2 linked regions of the Elephas maximus indicus genome follow. The protein of the gene in region 1 interacts with the protein of each later gene in a biochemical or structural test. Links are inferred from orthologs where the notes say so. Each region holds a gene or a part of one and is shown on either strand. Other genes may lie near its edges.

The links.
Region 2: the proteins of SIAH2 (region 1) and EGLN3 form a complex in vitro, tested with the Homo sapiens proteins (2 studies listed by BioGRID). The link is inferred for Elephas maximus indicus from reciprocal best matches to the Homo sapiens genes SIAH2 and EGLN3.

What each region holds. Positions count from the first base shown.
Region 1 is NC_064841.1:9,164,413-9,172,268, forward strand, and holds the start of SIAH2 (E3 ubiquitin-protein ligase SIAH2), read left to right. Parts: upstream 1-4,842; 5' UTR 4,843-4,849; coding exon 4,850-5,284; intron 5,285-7,856. UniProt on the Homo sapiens protein: E3 ubiquitin-protein ligase that mediates ubiquitination and subsequent proteasomal degradation of target proteins.
Region 2 is NC_064828.1:46,367,522-46,374,785, forward strand, and holds the start of EGLN3 (prolyl hydroxylase EGLN3), read right to left. Parts: upstream 3,008-7,264; 5' UTR 2,675-3,007; coding exon 2,318-2,674; intron 1-2,317. UniProt on the Homo sapiens protein: Prolyl hydroxylase that mediates hydroxylation of proline residues in target proteins, such as PKM, TELO2, ATF4 and HIF1A. Target proteins are preferentially recognized via a LXXLAP motif.

The DNA.
Region 1 (7,856 bases):
CACAATGGCTCCAACAGTGGGCTCAAACATAGTAATGATGGTGAGGATGGTGCAGGACCAGGCAGTGTTTGGTTCTGTTGTACACGGGGTTGCTGTGAGTTGGAACTGACTGTATGGCACCTAACAAGCTGGAAATGATAATAATAGTGCCCACTGAGAAGGATTATTGCTGACGTTTAAATGAATTATTTCATGCAAAGCACTTAGAAGATGATGCCCTGCATACAGTGAACAATCAATAAATATTAGTTATTATTAGTTTGGAGCACTGGTGGTACAGTGGTTAAGCCCTTGGCTGCTGTTAAACAAAAGGCTGGCGGTACAAACCCATGAGCCACTCCATGGGAGAATGATGCAGCAATCTGCTTCCATAAGATTCCAGCTATGGAAACCCTATGGGGCAGTTCTACTCTGTCCTATATAGTTGCTATGAGTTGGAATTGAGTCTATGGCAATGGGTTAGGTTTTGGGGTTTTATTATTAGTTTATATTGTCCACAGCACCTTTCCAAAACCTCAGGTTTAGTCATGTTACACTGCTTTTCAAAAACCTACAATGGTCAAAAGAATAAAGAGAGAACCTACAGACTGGGAAAAAATTTTTGGCTATGACATCCAACAAAAGTCTAATCTCTAAAATCTATAGGAAAATCCAACACTTCTACAACAAAAAGACAAATGATCCATTTGAAAAATGGGCAAAGAATATGAACAGACACTTCACCGAAGAAGACATTCAGGCAGCTAAAAGACAGATGAGAAAGTGCTTGAGATCACTAGCCTTTAGAGAAATGCAAATCAAAACAATAATGAGATACCATCGCACCCTGACATTACTGGCACAAATCAAAAAAAAGAGAAAATAACAAATGTTGGAGAGATTTTGGGAAGATTGGAACTCTTACGCACTCCCTTAAAAAGCTAGAAATACAAATACCATATGACCTAGCAATCCCTCCTAGGAATATATCCTTGAGAAATAAGAGTCGTCACACGAACAGAGATATGCACACCCATGTTCACTGCAGCATTATTCACAACAGCAAAAAGATGGAAACAACCTAAATGCTCATCAACAGACAAACAGATAAACAAACTATGGTACATATACACGATGATGTACTACGCAACCATAAAGAACAATGATGAATCCACGAACATGGATGAATCTGGAGGGCATTATGCTGAGCGAAATATGTCAATCAGAAAAGGGCAAATACTGTATGAGACCACTATTATAAAAACTCATGAAAAGGTTTACACACAAAAAGAAACAACTTTTAATGGTTATGAGGGAGGGAAGGTGTGGGGAGGGAAAAATACTAACTAGACAATAGATAAGTGGTAACTTTGGTGAAGGGTAAGACAGTATACAATACTGGGGAAGTCAGTACAACCTGACCAAGGCAAAGTCATGGAAGATTCATAAAGACATTCAAACCCCCCAAGGAACCAAATTAGTGGGCTGAGGGCTATGGGGTCCATAGTCTTGGGGGACATCTAGCTCAACTGGCATAACACATTTTATAAAGAAAATATTCTACATCCTCCTTTGGTGAGTAGTGCCTGGGGTCTTAAAAGCTGGTGAGTTGTCATCTGAGATATGTCTACTGGTCCCGTCCATCTTGAGCAAGGGAAAATGAAGAAAACCAAAGACAAAGGGAAAGATTAGTCCAAAGTACTAATGGACCACAACTACCACAGCTCCCATCAGAGTCCAGCATAACAAGATGGTGCCTGGCTACCACCATCAAATACTCTGACAGGGATCACAATAGAGGGTCCTCAAAAGAGCTAGAGAAAAGTGTAGAACAAAATTCAAGCTTACACACACACACACACAAAGACCAGACTTACTGGTCTGACAGAAACTGGAAAAAATTCGGGGAGTATGGCCCCTGGACACTCTTTTAACTCAGTACTGAGGTCACTTACCCTTCAGTCAAAGATTAGACAGGCCCATAAAACAAACAATAATACATGTAGCTCATCCATGTATGCAAGACTAAATGGGCACACCAGCCCAGGGCAAGGAGGAGAAGGCAGGAGGGGACAGGAAAGCTGGATGAATGGAAATGAGGAACCCAAGTTCAAGAAGAGGAGAGTGTTGACAGGTTGCAGGGTTGGTAACCAATGTCATGAAACAATATGTGTATAATTGTTTAATGAGAAACTAATTTGTTCTGTGAACTTTGACCTAAAACACAATTAAAAAAAGAAAATTAAACTTATACTGTTCCCCTGGTCACTGAGGTAAATATCTTATCAAGCCAATCGCACCAGCCTACACCACTGACACTCCCATTACAAGCCCCAATGTACTCCACCATTGAGTTCTCTCACCCTGTACTTTTGGCTCATGCTCCACCAGCTGCTCCTTGGAAATCCTATGGGGCAGTTCTACTCTGTCCTATAGGGTCATTATGACTCGGAATCCACTCCACAGCAACCAGTTTGGTTTTGGTAAGTGTCTTCCTATCACCCACCTCAATGCTTCTGAAATCCTGTTTCTTTATTGTCCTTTGCTCCCTTTCTGGAATGAATGTAAACTGGATGAAAAACATTCTCAGATTCCAAACAGTACCTGGCACATAATAAATGTTTAGGAAACACTGACTGAATGATTGAATGACACCTCCATCTATACATTTTTTTTTTCCTCCAAGATTTAGATCAAATTCCACCAATTCCATGCAGGTGGTCTTTCTAGATGCCCTCTATAAGATTAAACTGCTTTCCTCTGGGCTCCAAGAGCACATTTCTTGACTGATTTTATTCACTGATACTAATATTAATATCAAACGTTCACTTATAATTAGCTTTTTAAAAATAACAGCTAATGTTGAAACAATGCTGATGGGCCAGGTTTTATTCTAAGTGCTTGACATGTATCAACTCATTACTCCACCTATAAACTGTTGTCGTTATTCCAGTTTTACAGATGAGGAAACTGGGTCACAGCGAAGTTAAGAGAACTTGCCAGAAGTCATGCAGGTGGTGGGTGGAGGGCACTATCTTTCATCACGTCCAGTTAGCTGCTTCTTATCTCTTTCTCTCCCAAAAAGAATCATCCAAGTCCCCTGTAGGTAGTGCTTTCCCCCAAGTCCGGTAGTCAGGAGCTCAACCAAAGTACGGAAAAAAACAAAGGCATTTTAACTCAGAGTACCAAAACCTGCTACTATCGAGTCGATTTCTACTCATAGCTACAACTGCCCCCATAGGATTTCCAAAGAGCGGCTGGTGGGTTCGAACTGCCATCCTCTTGGTTAGCAGTCGAGCTCTTAACCACTTCGCCACTAGAGCTCCAACTCAGAGAATCAAAAAAACCATACCAAACCCAGGGCCGTCGAGTCGATTCCGACTCATAGCGACCCTATAGGTCAGTGTAGAACTAACTGCCTCATAGAGTTTCCAAGGCGCGCCTGGTGGATTCAAACTGCCGACCCTTGGTTAGCTGCTGTAGCACTTAACCACTTCGCCACTAGGGCTCCAACTCAGAGCACAGTATACATTAAATTAAACATGCGGCTGACTCCCGACTATCCTCCCCCCATAGGGTCACTACCAGTCCGAATCGACTCGATGGCAATGGGCTCGGTTTTGTTTTGGTTCTAGGGCTTCCGCTGAGAGTGCGAGGCATCAAAGCCTTGGACTTCGGCGAATCCCAAAGATGAGGACGCAGCGCGTTACACTGGAGAGTCCTGCACTGCCTTCCTGGGGTCTTACGACCATGTTTATGGCATGCGTGAGTGCTCTCGAACTCTCCTTTTAGCCAAAAAAAAAAAAAAAATTTTTTTTAAAGCTGTCCATTAATTCTTCCCTGGCCTACTGTGCACGTCAAAGGCGCTCAATTCAAGGACGCTTTTGCCAGGTCCGGGGGTAAAGTATTAAAGGGAGTCCGCCTCCTCCCCACCCTGGGCGGCAGGACTAAGGAGAAGACCTGTACCCTTGATAGTGCCAGGTCCTGCGCCCGCTGCAGATCCACCCATTGTCCTGCTCCCGCCCAGAGTTCTTCCTCTTGACCCCGCGTTCCAGACCCAGAGCTCTCTGGCTGGCCCCGCCGCACGCCCTCCCCCGCGCACTGGTGACTCAACTCAGGCGAGAGAAAGCTCTCGGTTTTTTCCGACCTGCGCAGGGTGGCCGACGCCAGCGTCCCGCCCCGCTCGCCGTCCACGCCCCGGCCCGGCCTGAAGTTGCCCTTCTGGTTCGTGGCTGGGGACGCGTCGGCGTGGCTCCCCGGGGTGTGGCTAGAGGGCCTTGGAGACGCCTTCGCGGAGGGCTCCCCTCCCCAGCCCGGAAAAGCCGGCCCCGGCAGGCGACAGCAGGCGGCGGCGGCGAGCCGGGCATGCTCACTGGCGCGGGCCAAACCCGCGGCCCGAGCACCAAGCGCCCGCGCTAGGCGGCCCCCTACGCTGCCAGCTGGAGCCGGGCGGAGCCCACGCCCCGGCGCAGGGTGGCTCTGCCAGTCCCTGCGCGCCTGGGCGGCCTCGCACGTAGCCAGGCGTCACGTCCGCGCGCGCCCCCGGGGCTTGCGTCAGCTGCCGCTCCAGAAGCTGGTGGGCCGGGGCTCTGCGCACCGCTCGGGTTCGGGGCCCCGGACGCCGCCGGGAGGAGGGCGCCGCGCGGGATCGGAGGGCGCTGAGGGGTCTCTGGAACGCCGGGGGCCCTTGGAGAGCGCCAGTGCGCTCCATCCCCCGCCGGCCCGGCGCCGGCGGTCTCCGCTACCCGATCCCGGGCTGGGCGCCGTGGCGTTGCCCGGGAGCCCACCGCCCGCGGGGCGCGCTCCGCCTTGACCCCGGCGGCCCCGCGGCAGGCAGGCGCCCGCAGTTCCATGGTTGGCTCGGAACGCAATGAGCCGCCCGTCCTCCACCGGCCCCAGCGCTAACAAACCCTGCAGCAAGCAGCAGCCGCCGCAGCCCCAGCACGCTCCGTCCCCGGCTGCGCCCCCGGCCGCCGCCACCATCTCGGCTGCGGGCCCCGGCTCGTCCGCGGTGCCAGCCGCGGCGGCGGTGATCTCCGGCCCCGGCGGCGGCGGCGGCGGCGGCGGCGGTGGCGGGGCCGGCCCGGTGTCCCCGCAGCACCACGAGCTGACCTCGCTCTTCGAGTGCCCGGTCTGCTTTGACTATGTTCTGCCTCCCATCCTGCAGTGCCAGGCCGGGCACCTGGTGTGTAACCAATGCCGCCAGAAGCTGAGCTGCTGCCCGACGTGCCGGGGCGCCCTGACGCCCAGCATCAGGAACCTGGCTATGGAGAAGGTGGCCTCGGCTGTTCTCTTTCCCTGTAAGGTAAGCCCAGGTGCCGCTCGAGCACCTCCACTCGGCGACCTTCCGGAACTTCGGTGTCCTCCAGCTCCTTAGCAGGCCCTGAGAAGCAAGCGGCATCTCTCCTATGTGAGAGCAAAAATCTTTCCGCTTTGTCGGGCCATCCCCCCGCTCCCAAGTCCTCCTGTCCACCTTGCGGGTAGCTCTGGGCTGACATTTGCCGAAACACTGACCCCAGATGAACTGGCAATTCTCTTCTCATTAGAAGCCGTTGCTGTTCTCCCCGCCTGGTGCCTGCGCCCTTTGCAGACGTGTACTTGGGTGTGCTCTGTAGGGCTGGGCCGCACTAGTAAAACTTGGACCGGGAAGCTGCGTGTCTGTGGGGAGTTGAGGAGCGAGGAAGTGGCGAGCTAAACGCGCCCTTTCCCAGCACTCGGCTTGGCAGAATGGCTCCTAGGCTCCAGCACCGCGCGCCCACCGTCCGCGCACCCCTGACACGTGGGAACTCCGGGGAGTGTAGCTATAGAAAGGGCGCCCACAGCCTGTTTTCCTCCAGCTACAGGAAAACCAAGAAAACCTGGCAGCCACGCCTTTCCCTCTCCTGGTCTGTGTTCTAAGCCGGGTGAAAACCCGGGTCTGTCGGGCATTTCACAGGAAGGGCGCGCGGGAGCTGTTGGTACAGTTCTTTAAAGCCTATCACTTTATTTTTTAGTCAAAAAAGTTACCAGCGCTTTTGCAAAAAATGCAGACCACAAAGACGAGAAAAACAGTGAAAAGACCAAGACCTCTCGCCTCTTCCCACCGTTGTTAGGTTTAGCGTGTGTATTTATGGACTTTTTCTAACAATTTATAAATGTGCTCTTGCAGCCAAATATAGAATCGTAGATGTCAGTGTGTGTCAGGAAGGCTTATATATACATGCACACATAGACATAGGTTTCCTCCAAAAATGGCTTCTGCAACTTGCTATTTTTAATTCATATGATCACACATTTTTTGATGTCTGAAATTTAGCTGTACCTCCTTCTGTTTTAAATGGCTGCATAGTATCACGTTGTGTGGTCATATTATAACATGTATTTATCTGCCTCTGTCACTTAAAAGGAAACCCTGGGGTGATGTGGTGGTTAAGAGCAGTTCAAATCCACCAGGTGCTCCTGGGAAACAATGCGGGGCAGTTCTACTCTGTCCTGTAGGGTCGCTATGAGTCAGAATCGACTCAGTGGTGGCAGGTTGGGTTTGGTATCACTTAAAAACATTCAGGAGCAATTCCGCAGATATCCTTGTCTGTTTTATTGTTTCCTTATAACCCAGAGCTACTCAGTAAACTTCACTTGCTGAACTTAGAAATGGAAATCACGTCATTAATACTTCTGGGTTTTTTATGTACAAGTAATTTCTTTGCCTTGAATTTCTCCTTGGTGCTGTTTATAGGATGAGAGCTCACTTTTTAAAATTAAAAATAACCCCCCAGAGAATCAAGGTTTGGGATTCAAGTCAGTAAAATGAGTGATTGAATCTGGTGTGCCGCCCCGCCACAAATCAAATTTAAAATCGCATATTCAAATAAAGGTCTGCATCAGTATCTGGACTGTTGAGTTTCAGTCAGCTGTAATAAACTACTTTGCTTTAATACTATCCTCATATGCTTAGTAATTCACCCAGCCCAATAGTTGTTTCATATAAAATTTAGATGAAATATTTCCATGATTTTCTCGGAGTCGTGAAGAAGTAGGCAACTTAGTGGTCAGAGAAGAATTGATGGTAGTTGAAATAAAGCGGGCATCTGATGTTTGAGATATATTGGGGAAGGGAGAAAGCCCCTCAGGATTTCTGGGAAACCATCTTCTCAGCCCTTCACTGTCTCCCAAACCCTTCAGTGTGAGGCTAATAGAAAAGATGGCTTTAGGTGAACTATAGTTCACAAATTAGCATATAATGTCTGTATTTCGTAATTGGTTTTTAAAAAGCCATCTCCTAAAGCCTTGGGACTACTCCCAGGAGAAAGGAAGGGAAGCACTTCTAGGATGCGATGTGAAGGGTGGACTTTCACTTTCGGGACCTTGAACTTGGGCTTTGTTGAAGTATAGGTTCATCCTTCACACGTAATATGCTAGTGAAGTCGTTCTTGAAAGGTGGTTGTTTGGGGAATCCGGAGTACTCAGCCTTTTTTTATGATTTTCCCAAGTCCCTGTTTTATAAAAATGCAGTTGGGCAAAGCCATCACTTGACAAGCTGGAATGTAAGACTCAGCTATCTCCCCACAGATCAGGAAGCAAGCTTAGAAGAGTTTACCTTGGGGCCACTTCTGTGTGAGTGTGTGTGTGTGTGTGCGCGCGCGCGCACGCGCGCATAAGAAGATGTATAAAGTGGCAGTGTGCACACCTTGACTTTGGCTGACCACACATCCAGACTATGGCCAGGGCACCTCGACCAGTTAATCTGGAGAATCCAAACTCAGATACATACAGAGGTCCAGCGAGCAGCCCAGATATGGGAAGGATGATAGACAATAGAGAGTGATAAGGCCTGTGGCAAAATGAAGACAAGACAGGTCTGTGTACCTTGCCCTTTGGCCTGCAGTTTGAGGCTCAGA
Region 2 (7,264 bases), on another chromosome or scaffold:
TTTACAAAGGCTGTCATTCAAAAATTTACTTTTTACTGAAACCTATTTGAAGGGTGCAGCAGGAAACTGGGTCCATATCACTACTTTGGGAAACAGCCTTGGTTGAGGGAAGAGAAACAATTAATGAAGAAAGGTTAAGTGAAGTTGAAATTAATAAAAATCATGTAGAACTGGAATGGGTTTCTATGATGCGTTAATAATGAGCTTCATACAAGAGACCCAAGGCCCCAAGACATCACTGAGAAGATTTCTTTATATAAACTAATTGATTTTTTTTTTTTTTTTTACTGTAATAATTGTTTGCTCCAGCCTTCTCCAACATTTGGTTCTAGTCAGATAGGGAATATCCCAACCTAGAGGTGATTTGTCTGAAGAGCAGGAATGACAAACATTGTGCCAAAACTGCCAAAGGAAAGCTGGAAATCTGGGGTATGGGCAGATGTTGCTCAAACGCATCTCTTCAGTGGACAAGACGAGTTTTCTGACTTCAATTCACAGTCACCTTCAGAAAGGGTTAGCTGCGAAGTTACTTTTTCCACTCAGAAGATAGCCCATTGTTGAAGAATCATGTCTGTAAATTTGTTTTTTTTTCCCTTACCCAGATGTACACAGTACTTTTCATTCAATTTGTCGAGTTAAAGTCTAGCCTGAAACTCTACCCCTAATCCATGAAGTCAAAGCTAAATAACAATTTTTAACTTTAATAATATTAGTGACTTCTCTCTACCAATTAATTTTAACTTCTGTTCCTAGAAGGCTGGGAGGAAAATTCTTAATACCTGAGATTAAGAGAAATTTAAAAAACTGGTAAGAAGCCATCTTGCAGACTGAAGCTATAAACACCTCTGCCAGGCTGATGCTAACCCACCCCAGGAGACAGGTAAGGTTCTTTAGTACAACAGCAAAACTATGCAGAAGACAAATAACTTCTGATCTACCACCAATATGAGGGAAGAAGAGTAAAGAAACACTTTAACAACAATCTTCTACAGAGTTCAGCCAACTCCAAATTTACCCCAAGCCAAAATAAAATTCAGAAAGCAGCAATTTCTTCAAAGATCCACTGTGTTTGCATTCAATTATTATCAATGCTTTCAGGAATTCTAAGTCTTCCTGGTTTGCAAGGTGACCAACAATCTATTTCTCCACTATTCCATTCACTTGCCTTGGCCCCTTCACTTCTATACATTTCCAGTCTTTACACTTGTTCTTTACGAAGAGCATTCCTCAGAGCTTACGGGACAAATGAGCCAGCAATGTTTTTTTTTTTTTAACACAGGACTCTTCTTGAATTGAGACATACTACATATATTTTTAAAGAGTGGTACATAGCTGAATGTTTAATTCCCTCCCATGGCTAGTATGCTTTGCCTCATTGTGTTTCAGTAAAAGTATTCTGTCCTTCTGAGTTCCCTTGACTAGTCCACAATAAAAAACACATAAATCATTCAGAATTGCCCCCTAGAAAAATGGGTTGGGCTATCATCTGAAGAAAGACTGAGTAGCTAGGCTATCCCCAAATAATGTTCATGCGACAACATCATGGTACCTACATGTTCCCGTATTTCTTTCAATCTACCTCTATTTGTCTCCAAAATAAATTACCACCCAGGAAGTCACTTACAGCTACCTGAACAAAAACCTGAGAAACACCATTTTCTTTCTAGTGGTACCTGAATACTCTCTCATGGATTTCACCTCAATTTATAGCTGGGAAAGGGGAGATGGTGGGGCAGGGCTGAGCACCAGGAGAGGGTTTCCAAAGTCAAGTAGATGGTCTTATAGTGTTCTGGTGCCAACCAGCCAAGGCAACACTCCGAGGTGACCAGAAGTGGATCCTGCACGTTTTACATGCCAAACTCTTCCCACACCTGCAGGACAAACTCCACAGACCAATTCCCTCACTGCAAGATTACATTACAGCTGCCACCAGGTTCTTTAAGAGTGCATTTGCGGGGGTACCTTCTGAACACAATGACGGGGAATATCAGGTGACTTTAAGCAGGCATTTAGAGTGAGTACCCACGTGCCTTGGAACAATGTTTCTTATAATACCCTTTCCCTTGTTTAAGTCTCTGAGAAACTCCATCTCTTAAAATGGGGCCGGAAGACACAGCTAGCTTGTACCACCCCACCAGAGCCATTATTCTAAAGTCAACAGAAGGTAATTATAATTACACACCTGAGCCCTTAACATGAACTATCGCTCAGAGGAGCTGGGGGACAAACCAGACTGACTTCTTGGTTTTAAAATTAAAGTTCGCTCGCAGCCCTGAGAAAGCAGCGTACAATTGACTCCCGAAAGCCCCCGTCCTACCTTGGACCTCTCCTTGACGTAGTATTTGCCCAGCCGGCTTCCGCAGTACAGGACCAGCCTGTCGATGAGGGACAGGAGGTAGCTGATGGCCTCGCAGCCCTCCTCGTTGCCCCCGATCCACGTGATCTGGTCGCCCCGCAGGTGCCGCTTGGAGACGCCCGCGCGCGGCCCCGCCAGCTGGCCGTCCCGCAGGGCCCCGTTGCAGTGCAGCTGCTTGACGCGCTCCAGGACGCAGTCACCCACCACCTCGCCTAGGAAGTTGTCCAGGTAGCAGAAGCCGACCTCGTGCAGGCAGGGCACGATGTACTCCAGGGCGATTTTCTCCAAATCCAGCCTCATGATGTGTCCCAGGGGCATCTCGCCCACAGAGTCGAGGTCGGGGACCCCCAGCGTGCACCACGGGAGAGAGCGACCTAAGCGCGCGAAGGCGAGGCGCCGGGAGCGTGGCCGGGGATTCAGCTACCTGCCGCGACCACAGTCCCCGAGCCACCGCAGCGCCTGGGAGAGGGGAAAGTTGCTTGCAACTCTGGGGACGGGGCGGGGGGTGTCTAGCTCAGCGACCAGTGAAGAGTTGTGCAGGGCCCCGCGATCCAGCGCCGGACTGACCCAGCAAGGAGTCGGAGGGCCCTTTTTGGAGATGCGGAGCCACCACCGCGGCGGCGGTCCGAGACCGAGAAAGAGTGAGTCCAGCTCCTGAGCCGGCCCGACACGGCACGTCACGAGCCCCGCCCCGGCCCCGCCTCCGGGACAGCCCTTCTCCCCATCCCCCACCCCCGCCCCCGGCCAGTCACCCCCGCCCATTCTCCGCCCCCAAGGCCAAGGATCCAGGCGAGCCAGGCGTCAGCCGTGGTTGGTTGTGAGGGAACCTGGAGAACAGACTGAATTTTTAGAATGCTATATTTGCATATTGTTTTGCTTAAAACCCCAAAACAAACTTAAAAACCTGGATCCCAATTTGGAAAATGTAAATGTAATCAAAAGCAGTTTACTGCCACACTCTGGGCTGGTCACCTCACAGGCTTTTAAATAAAATAATAAAACCAGGAACAAATATACATATTAAACAGAGGTCTCTTTCTTATCTTTATCTGATGCCTTTCGTTAATCCCCTTTCCTCAGCTGTTTGACCCAAGTCAGGAAGTTCAAGTCACCGACAGATTGGGAGGAATCCAGTTCTAACTAAAATGAACAATTAATATTTTTCTAACCCCTACTATGTGCAAGGGGCCCTGGTGGAGCAGTGGTTAAAAGCAATGGCTGCTAAACAAAACGTTGGTAGTTCAAATCCACCAGCCGCTCCTTGGAAACCCTATTGAGCAGTTCTACTCTGTCCTATAGGGTCACTATGAGTCTGACAGCAACCAAGGCTCTATATTCTGAACGAGGAAGAATGTGCACAACTTAGAAATACTTGCTGGGTCATATCTGATTGAACCCTGCAAATATTTTGCTTTGTTGAATGTTTTCATCCACTTAACTTTCAAGCTTCTAACTAAAATATGATGTTCTCAAATTCTACCTTCAAAATTAATCATGTGTTAACAGTCAGTATAGGTATATCCTCAAAAAAGTAAACTGTATTTTGGGTCCTTTCTCTCACTTTTCTCAGCAAGCAGCTCATTATACCAGAGGGATGGACACCACACAGAAGGCTTTTTATTATCTAAAGGTAAGCTGACTGCTTTATGGATTACTGATCCCCTTACCTACCAGACACCAGGAATCAGAATCAGGGAAAATATTCATAAAAAACAATCAGAAAAACCCAAACCCATTGCTGTCGAGTCAATTCCAACGTGCTGTTGAGTCGATTCCAACTCATAGCAAACCTATAGGACAGAGTAGAACAGCCCCACAGGGTTCCCAAGGAACGCCTGATGAATTCAAACTGCTGACCGTTTGGTGAGCAGCCTTAGCTCTTAATCACCAGGGTTTCCTCATAAATGACAGGCAAAGCTATTTCCATATTTTATCATTTTACACTAGTTTGCACTCAAGTTCTTCATGTAAGTTGAACAAAACAATGCACAGGTTTTCCAAGTGTCATTATTTTGTGTGCAATGCCTTACAGCTTTTTTACTTTTATCCTTCCAATAGCTCCTCCTCTCTGCTTTTGAAGGGTGAAATATGGAGGGAGAAATGAAGTCCAGGCCAAGAACAAACAGAATAGGAAAAGGATGCTGCTACTACGTGACGGAAAAGGCAGACAGAGGTGGGTGGCTGAGTAAGAACCTGAGCGCTGTTGGGGGATGGAACAGCCAATGGTGGAGTGTTTAAGAAACTAGTGAAACTTCTCATTACTTTGAGAGGAGGTTCTCTGCCAGGTTGGCGATTAGTTTGCAGTGTTGGTGTGACCTTTCAGCAGGAGGCACACCTCCTGGGGGTAAAGGTCTGAATTGGTGAGCACACCAGGAAATGTCACGTAAATTCCCAGGGAGCTCCATGATGACCCCCCAGAGTCTGGCACATGGTAGTGTGCCAGTTACTGGGAACCTGGTTTCTGTGCCTGAGCCACGGCCATTGCCGCGTGGCATTCAGGCATGTCTGGGCTTGTCTGGGGGTCTGCAGGAAGAGTCTATTTGCATGAGGGCCTGAGGAGTCTCCCTGAAGAGAATTGACTGGAAAAGAGTGCCAGCCAGATCAGCCTGGCCCAGAACAAAACCTCAGTGCCTGTGGAGAGGAGCAGTGAAGTGTTCTGCAGGGAATTTGTCTCTCAGCCATGGAAGATACCTGAGTCCTGGGAGTGGAAGGCCTAAAGTAAAAGCTGGCTGAACTGTTTAATTGTGGCAAGGAATGAAATGGGATGCAGTAGCACAAGGGAGGAGGGCCCTTATCTCTACTTCTACTTGAACCCCACGTACCCCAAAACGGCTTAGACCCCTCTAGTGATCTAGAGAGGTCATTATGGCTAGTAGGGTGGTTAGGAGAAGCGCAGTCTGGAGGTGTAGGCCCTAGCGGGCAGCAGCTTGTGCTTTTTGCATCTTTGGGGGCTATCGTAAACCTTAGAAGTAGGTATCCTGAATAGGGCTAGAATTAAAAAGGGGAAAATGGCAGATAACCCTTGGTAGCTGGCCAAAATTTTCTAGCTGAAGGTGCTTTGTAGGTATTCCTGATACTCCTAGGAATAATTAGGGGAGAATTTACCCAGGACAAGAAACCTGAAAGACATGGTGGCCAATAAAATACAAAGAAGTCTATACCCACTGCCCTTAATGAATATGTTGAGCTCACTTTAAACCAGGACTGGGTCAGTTTGACTTATTATTCCAACAATGTTTAAATAATTTTAGAGTAAAGCTGTAACAGAGAAAGAGAAAAAAATCCCAAAGGGCCCTTCCCTGGAGCAATAGTCTAAGCAAGTTCTACTGACTGCTGGCCTTAAAGTTTTCTAGATTACTCTGGTTCCAAGGTGTGGGCAGTTTAGAAAGGAATTCAATCTGTTGGCACCATTCCTGCTTGGCAAAGGTACCTATTAATTAATCAAGGACCTTCCAGTCAGCTTGGGGCTGCCAGCCCCGCTTTTGGCACAGGAGCCAGAGATACCGTGACTGGGAAAAATCAGTGTGCGATTACACCAGGCGGGCAGACAGGCTGGAGCCGAGCACAAGCTCTGAGTCTGAGCATCAGAGTAGCAAATCTCAAGCTGACTGTTAAAATGTGGGTTTTTTTGGTGATTTGTCCATTAATTTGTGCCATCATAATGCATATTAAAATACTTTTCATATTAATAACTAAGCCAAATTAATTTCCCTGTAATTTAATTAAGACAGCATTGTCTTTCCGTGTGCATTTGCAGTACGGATGCAACCATTTTCAAGCATGTGAATGAGAAGTTTGGAAGAAAGGATGTTGTATTTGTTTGCCTTGAATTTGAACTGGAAAAGGATCTGAGTGGTCACCTAACCCAGCTTCATTTTCCTACAGATGAGTAAGCCAAGGCCCAAAGGGGTTGGACATTAAGTGACTTTCCTAAGGAGTCTCTGGTGAGTAGAAGAGGAAGCCTGGAATGCTTCTGTCTTTTCCACTGTAACAAAGAGATCCCAATCATTGTCTTTTTTCCCCCTTTCTTTTTAGATTTATTTTTTAATGAAGTAAATTCACATAATGTAAAATTAACCATTTTAAAGCGAACAGTTTAATGGCGTTTAGTACATTCACCATGTTGTGTAATCACTACCTCTAGCTACTTCCAAGGAACCCTGGTGGTGTAGTGGTTAAGAGCTTGGCTGCTAACCAAAAGGTCGGCAGTTCAAATCCACCAGCCGCTCCTTAGAAACCCTATGGGGCAGTTCTACTCTGTCCTATAAGGTCACTATGAGTCAGAATAGACTTGACGGCAACAGATTTGGTTTTGGGTGTAGATCTAGTTCCGACAGGTCCCTGGGTAGCACAAACAGTTTGCAAAACGTTGGGGGTTCAAACCCATCCAGCAGCACCACAGAAGAAAGGCCTGGTGATTGGCTTCCATAAAGATGACACCCAAAAAACCCTGTGGAACTCTGTTCTACTCTGTAACACGTCGGGCAGAGTCAACTCTACAGCAACAGATTTTTGGTTTTAAATCTAGTTCCAAAACATTTTTATCACCCAAGAATAAAACCCTGTACCCATTAAGCAGTTACTCCATATTATCCCCAGCCCCTGGCAACCACCAATCTGCTTTCTGTCTCTGTGAATTTACCTATTCTGGATATTTCATATAAATGGGAGTATATAATATGTGACCTTTTATGTCTGGCTTCTTTCACTTAGCATAATGTTTTTAAGGTTCATCCATGCTATAGCATGTATCAGTACCTCATTCCTTTTTATGGCTGAATAGTATTCCATTGTGTCTATATATACCTTAATTTATTTAACCATTCATCCATTGATGGACGCTTGGGTTGTTTCCATCTTTTGGCTATTGTGAGCAGTGCTACCATGAATACCTGTGTACAAGTATTT